3 linked regions of the Bombyx mori genome follow. The main gene of each other region encodes a partner of the protein of the gene in region 3 in a complex. Links are inferred from orthologs where the notes say so. Each region holds a gene or a part of one and is shown on either strand. Other genes may lie near its edges.

The links. Proteins that work in one complex are often made in the same cells at the same time.
Region 1: frataxin homolog, mitochondrial (region 3) and cysteine desulfurase, mitochondrial share a complex: the UniProt entries of both Drosophila melanogaster proteins name them as parts of the mitochondrial core iron-sulfur cluster (ISC) assembly complex. The link is inferred for Bombyx mori from reciprocal best matches to the Drosophila melanogaster genes fh and Nfs1.
Region 2: frataxin homolog, mitochondrial (region 3) and LYR motif-containing protein 4 share a complex: the UniProt entries of both Drosophila melanogaster proteins name them as parts of the mitochondrial core iron-sulfur cluster (ISC) assembly complex. The link is inferred for Bombyx mori from reciprocal best matches to the Drosophila melanogaster genes fh and bcn92.

The regions. Positions count from the first base shown.
Region 1 is NC_085110.1:10,989,581-10,993,798, forward strand, and holds the start of cysteine desulfurase, mitochondrial, read right to left. Parts: upstream 2,950-4,218; 5' UTR 2,755-2,949; coding exon 2,634-2,754; intron 2,313-2,633; coding exon 2,236-2,312; intron 2,158-2,235; coding exon 1,903-2,157; intron 1,363-1,902; coding exon 1,197-1,362; intron 1-1,196. UniProt on the Drosophila melanogaster protein: Catalyzes the removal of elemental sulfur from cysteine to produce alanine. It supplies the inorganic sulfur for iron-sulfur (Fe-S) clusters.
Region 2 is NC_085108.1:8,216,943-8,221,111, forward strand, and holds LYR motif-containing protein 4, read right to left. Parts: upstream 2,950-4,169; 5' UTR 2,715-2,949; coding exon 2,626-2,714; intron 1,588-2,625; coding exon 1,467-1,587; intron 541-1,466; coding exon 484-540; 3' UTR 403-483; downstream 1-402. Other genes in the region: uncharacterized protein LOC101737726, read left to right, coding at 3,923-4,008. UniProt on the Drosophila melanogaster protein: Stabilizing factor of the core iron-sulfur cluster (ISC) assembly complex that regulates the stability and cysteine desulfurase activity of Nfs1 and participates in the [2Fe-2S] clusters assembly on the scaffolding protein IscU.
Region 3 is NC_085115.1:238,554-242,218, forward strand, and holds frataxin homolog, mitochondrial, read left to right. Parts: upstream 1-1,326; 5' UTR 1,327-1,426; coding exon 1,427-1,708; intron 1,709-2,767; coding exon 2,768-3,016; 3' UTR 3,017-3,159; downstream 3,160-3,665. Other genes in the region: uncharacterized protein LOC134199323, read left to right, coding at 3,184-3,258. UniProt on the Drosophila melanogaster protein: Promotes the biosynthesis of heme as well as the assembly and repair of iron-sulfur clusters by delivering Fe(2+) to proteins involved in these pathways.

The sequences.
Region 1 (4,218 bases), on a different chromosome or scaffold from region 3:
CATGCTTGCGATTACATAGATTTCTCCGTGGCGACACGTTATTTTTTTATTGCTTAGATGGGTGGACGAGCTCACAGCCCACCTGATGTGAAGTGGTTACTGGAGCCCATAGACATCTACAACGTAAATGCGCCACCCACCTTGAGATATGTTCTCAGGTCTCAAGTATAGTAAGGAGCTAAGTTTATTTCTATAATTTTGTGTTACCTTACCAAATATCATCTTTCAATAGAAGTTACAAAAAATGTAAACAAGCTTAAACATTGAAACAGCCAATCTAATGATGTAATGAACTAGAAAACCATTTAAGACAGAATTTTCCACTCATTTGTTGGAGACAATATTTTAGAGAAATTACTTAATTAACATAGTAAGTAAAGTAAAATTTAAATCACAGCTATGCTCCTGTTTCCCTCAAAAATTTATAAGATCGGAATGCAAATATAATACTTAATTAAATTTAATAATATAAATCTGAAAACACCCAATAATAAAGTGACATGTAACTATCTGGCAGCACAACACATGTAATGTAATTAGGTATGTACTTATAAATAAATGATTGTAATAATTACATATATTACAAGTCTTGGAATTTTGTATTTGATAGCGTAAGTACCTACCCAAGGGCTAGGGGTCGTCTGAAATCAATGGATTCAGACTCATCTCAAATGTATGGATTGTAAAACTGTGACTGAGCCTCTAGGAGGCCTGTAATACTGAATATTAAAAAAATATAATCCCACATAAGTAGTTGATATTACCCTGCCAATTTCTGGTACAGAGCCGTTATGCATTAAGTTTGAAGCTTGAGACCACCATACAATTGAAGTGAGACAGCAATATCATGTCTCGAGGGGAGTAATTGATGTTACTTTGAATGAAATATTAAACTTTTATGATAATGCAAATTGTCAAACAATTTTATTTTATTGCAAGGTCAGATAAAGTTTATAATTTATTTACATTACTGTTAAATTATAAAATATTACAAGTTAATGATGATAAGACAATGTCAACAAATTTTTGGATCTTGAGGTTAAATTAGTTTATTAATGTTCCTTGCTATCATATCACACAATATATTTAAAGTTGAAAGGTTATTAATATATAACAAATTAACAAAAAAATATAAACATTACAGAGATTACAAATCACAATAGCACATAATGAAAAAAGTTTACATGTTTACAAACCTATTTCATTATTGACAGTCATTATAGATACCAAACTGGTTTCTGGCGTGATGGCATCTTCCAAATCCTTTAAATTTATAATTCCATTCTGTTGGACTGGTAAATATGTAATTCTGAAACCTTCACCTTCTAAAGCACGACATGAGTCTAAAACACATTTGTGTTCCTGAAGAATAAAAACTCCATTATTACCAAAATATAATTTTTGAAAAAAAAAAAGCAACAATGTAATCTTGTGACTATAGTGTAAGTGTAAACTTGTGTTAATAGACAGACTAAATGAAAATTACAACGACTGAAATAAATAATAAATAACGACGCTTGAAAGGCAAATGTGACTAAGCGACAATAACTGCTTTGTATGAGGCCTATGTCTATAATAATATGAATGATAGGCAATAACCATATTCGATGTGCAAAAAATATATATTTCTAGGTCTATTAAATTCATTTCAATCCTACAGCTAGATTCATTAAAATATAATTTTTTTCGGGTATTTCAACTTTAAATTAGTCTACTGTAAAGTTCACGCATTGTCGCTTAGTCACGTTTGCCTTTCAAGTGTCGATAAGTTCATTCTAATGGCTATGAATCAATCTTTTACTTAGCTATTATAATTTATGCAGTGAGTTAAAAATATAATGTTTATTATAGAAATTTCTACTACTAAAGGACTTTTTTGAATAAAAATAATTAAAAACTTACAATTTGAGTAGTAATGACATGCTTTTTTCTTGGTGCATAAAATCGACCCACACCTTTAACAGATATGTTATTTGATTCTGTTGCTCCTGAAGTAAATATAATTTCTTTTGGTTCAGCATTTATTAAATTTGCCACTTGTTCTCTGGCTTTTTCAACAGCAGCTTCACTTTCCCATCCATACGCATGAGTTCTTGAATGTGGATTGCCATGATAACTTACTAAGTATGGTAGCATTACATCAAGAACTCTAGGATCCTGAAGTTAATTGCACTTAAATCTCCATTCATAAGTGATATGAATAAATGTAAAATTTTCGTATCATGTTCTACTTACCATTGGTGTAGTGGCTTGAGCATCGAAATACAAAGGCCGGCCAACTTCCTCATGTTTTAATGAAAATTTGTCATTTGCTGAAACATGTACTGATTTTAACTTTTTATAATAAATTTGCAACAAAATTAAATTTTGCAGTAAATGTTTATTGAATAACAAATGTATTTGATGTGGGAAGTTGACACGTAATGTATAATATTCCATGTTTACTCAAAAAATTGTGGCAATTGTGATGTAAATGATTAGCACATTTTGTTGATAGGGTAAAAATCAATAATATAGCGTAACTTTGTATAATATTATGACATTGAATATACACTATTAACTTAAACCTTAGAACATAGAAATTAGATACAAAAATAAGTAGGTATAATACTAATTAAATCATGGTAGTTTACCAGAATCGGAAAAAAAATTGCTTTGCTCAAATATAACAACGCCGTTTCCATTTAATTGGGTTTTCTGTTTTATTGCGGATTTACAAACCACCGAAATCACGTTTTTTGTCAAACGGAACATTTTGAATGAAATAAATTAAACAATTTTGCAAGTTTAAAAACAAGCAATTCTTAACCAGAGTCTTGACTAAAATAATTTCGAATTCATATCATTCATTCATATGATTCAATCGTGTGATTGACATTTGTTTTTTTTTTTAATTTATTTACGGCCAACGGTTACAAGACCTTATAGACTATTGACACTTGTTGTCAGGGCAGTGTGACCAGATTTCATTTGATGAATCTACTGCTTGTGGAGGTTAAAATCTACTGAATTCTACCAAAAGAGAAAGAGAAATACTAAAAATCTATTATACTTTTTTTACTGTCGTGTTACAATGTAAATTGTGAAATATTGTTATGTGTATATAACAATTAATTATTTTAATTTAACAATAAAATATAATTTAACAATAAACAATAAAATAATAAAAAGAAACCACAATTAATTAAAGAGACAATGTTCTTGTTTAAATTAAATTCTAATTAAAAATATAATTTTCGTCTTTAGGTTGGGTAACATTTGCATAAAGTTGTTTTGAGTGGACTTTTGGCGGGAACGTGAGGAGTGAAGTTGTGTGATTTGTTTTATTTTGTCTAGTTAGTGTTTCTTCAGATTTAAACGTGTAATAGCGGTGGTTTATTAACTGTTTAGTATCTGTGAAAGTGCACAAATTTGGGAAAATAAAACAAAGCCACTGAACGTAACTTCTCGGGATCTTCCAAAAAGTCCACTGAAAAAGTCTCAGTAAATGACCACCATTTTACTGAGATTATACTTCATCCCATATCATCTCATCTCATGTCATTTCATTTCGTTTTCATTTCACTTTATGCCATGTTTCATCATAATCAACTTCATTTCATTTTATAATATCATTTTCATTTATAAAAGTTACGTATCATTAAAATTAAAATAAGACTTGACCTAAAGGTCTTAGTTACCAGGTCATAAAATACCTTAAAAAAAAAAAGTTGTTTTGAGTCCATTGATATCTTGTACTTCTGTCAGGATCAAATGTGTGACATCAACTGTCATAGCCCCTCTTTTTCATGCATTAGGTATTGCAGCAACATTCTTATTATTAAATCGATTTCGATCTTGATTTTTAATCCTATATTAATAGGATATTAATCAGAAATTATTCTTTCTACTTTGGCTGACAGATTTGGCTGACTTCACTCCAAAATTTATCCACCATAAAAGTTTCAGACGTCGAACTAGAAGTTGACAATAAATTAGACACGGAAACATCTAACTTTAATTCCCTATTTTCTTTGTCAACAATTTGCAGGTTTTGTGCTGCGACTACAAGGTATCGTGATGAATGGGACGTCGCGATATCCTTATGTATATTTATGTTTCATTTTAAGCTCGATTATAAAAATTCTCAATGAAGGAATTCCCACTAGTCTATCACACTATGCTCACGGCACGAACGGTAACGAAAAGAATGAAAATTAAATAGTTACAATCCATTCG
Region 2 (4,169 bases), on a different chromosome or scaffold from region 3:
TAATGACTGTCCCACCCTTCAAACCGCAACACATGGTTGCTTCAATTCAGAAATAGGCAATGTGGAACTGACGTTACTCCTTATCATCAGTAAATGCCATTACTGGCCATTCTCTGCTAAACTCTTTAGTACCTTATATACGGACCTCGGAAAGAGTCTAATTTATAATAACTGCAAGTCAACATCAGCACACAGCCTATTTCCAGTATTTCCAAAAAAGTTAGATTATCATCTTTAATTATCACACCTTCTCCCATTCGATTAGGTTAAATTATTTTATGATGCATACCTGTGTATATGCATACCACATATACATTTAATTGTACTTTTAGTAACAAAACCAATTATAATTATTTAAATGAAAGTTCTGAGACCCCTACAGATTTAATTTGAATAAAAAACTCTGCATTATACTATTTATTAGTCAAATGTACATTATACATTACAGATGTTTCATAATAATATACAATTATAAACATGAAGCTACCGCAGATTTTCGATAACAAGTTTTTCTGTTTTATACATATTTCCAATGGCTGCCTGTAAAACAAGATGATTTCATATATGAATTAATCACAATAGTTTAACCTTTTAGTGCAGTTAGATCAGAGGTGGGGTGTAGTGGTAGTTTTCCAATTACAGAGCATAATGCGACTCAGTGACGCACAATGCCAAATTATGCTGAAGCTTAATTGGAACGTGAATTAGTTTTGAAATGCATCAGCAGAGTGCGCTAAGTTAGCACAGTCTTAATTAACATTGATTATTTCTAAGAAACTACGACGAAACGAAAGCCTTACAATTTTTTTCAACATTAAATAATATTACTAACGATAATATAAACAAAATTTCGATCAATGCCAACTTAAAGAAAAAACACTTGTCAATTTTCTGTCACTGAGTCGGTATCGATTGCGAGTATCACGCGAGAGCAGTACTTTTGAGAGTGCTCAATTGTGCTTCGAGTTGCTGCAGTTGGAACATTCAACGTTGAGCATTATGCCGCATAATGAGCTCTTGTGCTGTAATTGGAAAACTACCAGAGTGAGCCTGAATAGATTGGTACCATAATCTCTCCCAGCTCTCTCAGCTCAGCTCGGCAACCACATTTTCTTATTTGAATGAGAAAAAGATCAGTTGTTTAATATTTTGATCAAATCAACATTTCAAACCCATCACAGTAGGGATGAAGTATACTTTATTTTCATTAATAGAAATTTTAGAAAATTGGTTCTCCTTTCCTGCTCCTGAAGACCAACACTGCAAAATGCACTGCAATAAGACTAAGGACAAATTGTAAAAAGCAAAAGGTGGCAGATTTCCCATTGTAATGTTTATAGACTACCGTTACCACTTAACTGATGTGATATAAAGGAAACCAAGATATAAATATAATACTTTTCTAAATAAAATATAAGCTAATTATCACATGTGTTTGATAACATAAATGAAACATATTCACACACCTGTCTCCTGATAACATTTAAATTTTCTTTTCCAAATTCAAACTCTTTCTTCACAATCTTAACATCAGACACATTTTTATTATCTTTAAAAGCATCTCGAATTCTTCTTAGTGCGTATGCTCTGAAAGGATGAATGGTTAAAATTTAGCATTTTTTGATAAATTGTTGATTAATTAATTCATAATTTATTGAGGCTTTGAAAATCTCGTTCATTTTAATTACTGTAACTCTGATGCTGTAGTTATTAATTGAGGCTGATTTTTTTATTTAATTATCTAATTAAGTTTGCTTAAAATGTGTCTTGTCCGCCTAAAAAACTAAAATAACAATTTAAATGCATGAAAATGATAATCATTTATAGCATCATCATCAGTCTACATAATTTTACTGGACATAGGCCATCCTCAAGCTTCACCACAGTGACTGATCCTAAGCTGTTCAAATCTGACAGATTCTCACAACTTCAACATACTGTGGGTCTACCTTCTGGAAGGATTACTTGTACTACAGATTTTGGTGTAGAGTTGCAATAGTGACCATTTTTTCTATGAGCTATATGCCCCTCACAGTGCTAATTTAAACTCGTTGATTACTTATCATAATGAGTAATTAATATTAATGAAGTGCATTAATATCACATTCATCATTCCATTTACCTGACTCATTTCAATTATTATCCAAATAATTGATTCCAAACAAGCTTGATAATTTTTGATTGCGTTGAAATTCATTTTTTTCGCTTTTTTTTTATAGCAAGGGTGGACGAGCTCACAGCCCACCTGGTGTTAAGTGGTTACCGGAGCACATAGACATCAACAATGTAAAGGCCGCCACCCACCTTGAGATATAAAGTCTAAGGTCTCAGTATAGTTACAATGGCTGCCCCAGCCCCTTCAAACCGAAACGCATTACTGATTCATGGCAGAAATAGGCGGAGTGGTGGTACCTACCCGTGCGGACTCTGAAGACGTCCTACCACCAGTAAATACATTTACTTAAGCCTAATAGAATTTGGTAGCCACATATCATGACAAAATTAAAAATGTATTGACTTTGTTTGTAATTTAAGAAGGTAACAAAATTATGCTTTTGTGTTCACTAGTAACGTTGGAGTAAATCTTTCATTTGTTTTAGGTTATATAATGGTGCAAAACATTACCTGAAATTATAGTTAGGGAACTTCTGGGATTCTCTGAGAAGCAATTTATAGAGAGATAATATTTGTATTTTAGGTATCGCGCCAGACATTTCGCTTTATTATTCGACAAGCTTATTAAAAACTATAATATATTGATAAAAGGTAATACCCAATGATATTTGTCTTACGAATTGTTATGACCAGTTATGACATTACACTCCAGTTTTTTTATGTAAACAAAAATTAGACGTTCCGTATTACACGGTGTTAAACCTTTATTTGTTATAAAATAAATTTATCGTGCAAAACTTTTGAATTGTGATAATAAATGTAAAAGAAGGTAAATTCGTAAGTTTCGCGTCTGGGTAGAAGTTTCAATTCGACTTTGATTATTAGTCACAATTTACACTAGTAAGGATGTAAATTTAAGTAGCCTTTGTCTAGCTACACTACAGGATACCGAAAAGTGTACATTGTCAATTTGGTCTAACGTCAGTAACATCTGATTTGACATTCCCGATGTTTTAATAACATTTGCGATCTGATAATTACAAATTCAAATATTGTTATGCTCGTCAGCCGTCATTCTAAGACATATATAGGTACTTACTAAATTAAACAGTGAGTTAAAAGTTTGATGAAATTTAAATTATTTTAACCAAATTATCCAAAGGAAACAAACAACAAAAGTACTTTGTTTACAAGACTAGCGAAGAAAATTGTCATATTTTTGTCAAAGAAGTTAGGATTTCTAGACCATTTTTAAAAATTCACTTGCCTGCACATTTTGTTGTGTAACTTAGCGGAAGATGATTACTAAACATGTTTTGTATGTAAATCACTTAATATGTGTTATGTCAAGTTATGAAAGTTAGCAAAGGAATACAATTTACATACCATGTAACACAAATATTACATACCATGAAATGCCTAATATTAACTTTAATTTTTAAAAACAATTTTCAAAACTAAAAAGAAATAAAGAGACTATTTCGCTTGGTCATTGAAATAATTATCAGGTTAAAATCTAAAATTCTAAACAGATACTATAATAATAAAAAACAAATTAATGATGAAAATTGAATATCATTAATTAAGTTGCAATGGAAATTAAATTAAATATTATCCATAGTAAAAAAGTAAAGTAATTATATAAGAAGTAGTTTAATATTAATGTATTTGTAATTCAATCCTCATATCTCAAGGAATCTTGTGCTCTTTATATTCTGATTTCTTGTGTGGCCCCTGTGGTTGCTGATTAAAACAGGCAACCATGAGCCATCTGCCATCCTGGCTACTAAATTATTGATTTCAGTTCATGGAATATTCACCATCGCACAAGAATTGGCATGATGAGGAAAGATATCACGTGCACAGCGATGAGAGTCCTGTATTGTCTTACAGGTAATTAAAATTAATTGAAATGTATTAAATCTTACTGGTTCTTTTATATAGAAGTTGCATTAAACTATTATTTATTAAAATTAACATTCGTTGACATTTTAAGGAGTCTGTAAACCCTAAACAACTGAGAAAGACATGAGATGGAATTATCAAAGTTAATA
Region 3 (3,665 bases):
GAAATATAGGAAAATGGCAGCTATAATCGGAGACGCTAAAGGTAATAACGCAAATACGTTAAGGTACTGGTGACAGGGCAAAGTAGCGTGAGTAGTTGTGAGTAAACACGGGTACCACCACCCTGCCTGTTTCTGCCGTGCAGCAAACTGCGTTTCGGTTTGAAGGGTGGGGCAGCCGTTGCCCTGTAAAAACGAAGTCAGTCTCATATCTCGAGGTAGGTCACGGCATTTACGTTGTAAGTGTCTATGAGCCCCGGTAAACACTTAACACGAGGTGGGCCGTGAGCTCGTCCACTCATCTTAGCGATAAAGTTTTTTTCCAAAACAAGAAGTTATATTTCGGTTGCGTAATTCGATTATCTAACAACTCAAAATTCACAAAATATAAATATATTTTTTATTTAAATATTTATTGCAGAAGTGTCGTCCGGCGGTGTCATTCGCCAAAGCTGACGGTAGTGCATGCTGTAACATTCTGGTCCAGCGAGATATTTCGGGACACCAGCAGCAACGCCTGATGCGGCCTGAATGACTGCCGCACCGGAACGGCTGACATAGTGTCGTCGACTATCATCTCTACCCCTTCTACTCTGTCCGAGTTTTGAACCCCTATATAGATCGGACGTCGGGTGAGAGAGTTCCAGGGAGGTCGTTTGGTGGATAGGGCCCCATAAACATCCTTGATCTCATGGTCTACTCCTAAAATCTGCAGACCGTGAAATCCCATATGCCCCACGCATCCCCTAGGGGCAGACACCTCGTATGAGGTTTGGCACCCTGTCCGAAAAGTCGAGTTCATATTGGACTCATAAGCTATTTATCACAAGGTAGGCAGTGAGCTCGTTCAACCACCTAATCATAAAGAATAAAGAATATTTATAATTTTAATCACACATACATATTGTTGATATATATATTATTATATACTCTTGATACACCCTCTTTAGAATCAAATAAATTAGGTGCTGTATCAGCATGTTCATCTAAGCATGCAAAGGCAATAAATTAAAAGATACATGACGTTTAATTTTGTTTATTTTATAGGTTATTGACTTTACAAGAATTATGGAATAATTTTCACGCATATTAGTGACTTTTGATTGTTCGAAATACCCTAAATATATAATATATGTCTTAATGTGTATTAAGAGCAGAACAAAGATTTGCCTGAAATTTCAACCATTGCAATATTTTGTCGTCTTTTTTGAAATGCAAAATCATATTATCGATCAAGATAATTATTAAAAGGCAACGATTTTAAATCGTTAAATCGAGTATACTATTAGAAGTTTCCCTTTGCGAATGATACAAAAAGTCAAGGCTGACAATGACAAACGAGACGTCACATTGACAATATTAAGTCAACAAACTTTAACCTCCTGAAGAATGCATATCAAAATAATATTACGGAGTAGAATTTAACGTAATGATTAGGAATATAATACGTACCGGCCGGTGGCTGGTGCGGCTGCAAATCAATAGTCTCGCCCCCATCGCGATACGAAAAAGCAGTAGTATACTAAAAGACTTCAGACTGAATGTTAGTTGTGGTTTTAATAACCGAAGATTATCTGATAATATCCGCAATGAAGAGGAACCTCTAGTATTTGAAGAGGCTTGCAACGAGACCTTAGAGTCGCTGTGTGATTTTTTTGAGCAGTTAATCGAAGATGCACCGAATTTGAAAGGAGCTGACGTAACATACAGCGTAAGTTAAATTTTCAATGTGGGTAACTACATACTTAACCACTTCTTACTTAATAATTTCTTTAAAGTGGACATTATAAAACCTTTTGCAAAAACTTTAGTTGTGAGAGAAACTGAATCCAATAATAAAAGGTGGAATTGAATGAAACAAATGCTTAAGTTAACATAAAATTTAATATTTAAAGTATGCTCTTCCTAAATTCCAGTTGTAACTTAAAATATTCTTTTCAAAGCGTAATGTTACTACACCATATTAACAGTCAATAATTTAAAAGAGTAACCTTATTTTCTTATTACATGTAATTTTCTGTGCGCACAAAGATTAAAGTATTTGAAACATAAAGAGTAAAGTAAAATAAACTAAATAAATACTGTTCTATACTGTTAAAACAGTTTAATTAATATTAAATATTAAAAACGGATAAAGTCTGTCTATATTTTTTATGGTCATCTTATCTGGTTATAAGAGTAGAACAGTAACAATTCTGATAGCATTTGAGACATAGACTTTTTTTTTGTATGCAGATAGGCATGTGGCCCACCTGATGGTGAGTGGTTACCATCGCTTATGGAAGTCAGCAATGCCAGAAGTAGAGCCAAGCTGCTGCCTACCATTATCTACCCTCCACAAGCCTCGTTTGAATAAGGATATGTTGTAGGGCTTGGGAAACACCGTGGAGTAAAGCTCATTCGAAAGCCGGATGGTACCTGGCAAAAAAGATCTCAGGAAACGCATTGTGGATGAATGCAGTGGGTCTACATCTCAAGGAATGTATTTTGTGGGATTTAATTAACATTTAATAACTGGATTGACTGTCAACTTGTCTACTACTCTAGAGCAAAAAGCAAAAAGAGGCAAAATTACATTCCAACAACATATCTTGTTGTAAGATATGCTTGCTATGTTCAATGTGACAGTTTTAAAGATTTGTCTTTAAAACAGTACAGTACAGTCTGGGCAAACCCAGACTGATAATGATAATGAGTAATGATAATATAAAAGCCCTAAACATTTCTGCCTCTTAATTCTTTCTTAGAAATAAAATAATCCATGTTTCAGGATGGTGTATTAACCATATCATTAGGAAAGCACGGGACATATGTGATAAACCGGCAGATACCAAATAAACAGATTTGGTTGAGCTCCCCCACGTCTGGACCAAAGCGCTATGACTTAGTTCTCGAGGGAGGAGGCTACTGGATCTACAAACACGATGGAGTCACACTCCACAAACTCCTGCAACAAGAAATATCAGTGATAGTTAAAGATAAAGTTGATTTATCAAAGTGCTCACACAGCTTAGTTTGAAGTTCATAAGAAATAAGAACATAGTGTGTATACTTTAGCATAAGCTTTGCTTTAGTTTCAAACATTAACTGAGGCAATCTCCTTAGATTTGGTTTGATTTCAGTTTTTATTTTATTTTAAATATACAGTTGTTTTTTTTATTATTGATTTTTTTATTTTATTTGATAATGGAAGTTATTGAGGATGGAAATATTATTGATAGGATCCCAATTTTGTTGCAAAGAGATTTGGAGTATTATCAGGTTGGTTTATCCAAAGTTTTTATTCAAATTAATAATAACATAACATTAATAATAACGTAATCAAAATTTCATAATAAAAAGCTAACTCAATTTTATGTACTAAATACTACTCAAATGGGTAAATGTCTTATTTATACACATATAAAATACTAAAATAATGACTACATCAACAGGCTTAGCTTTTTATCTGATTTCAAAATTGGTTCAAAATTTATTTAGGTTAATGTTAGTCAAGCTGCAGCTGTCTGCTTATAAATAAGTATTAAATTTCCAAAAAAATCAGAATTTAATTATGGTATCTTAAAATAATTTCTGTATAATTAAATAAGGGAAGTAAATATGTCTTTGTTTAAGAAGTTAATTATTTGTTAACATATACATATATAGTTATACATATTAGGATAAAA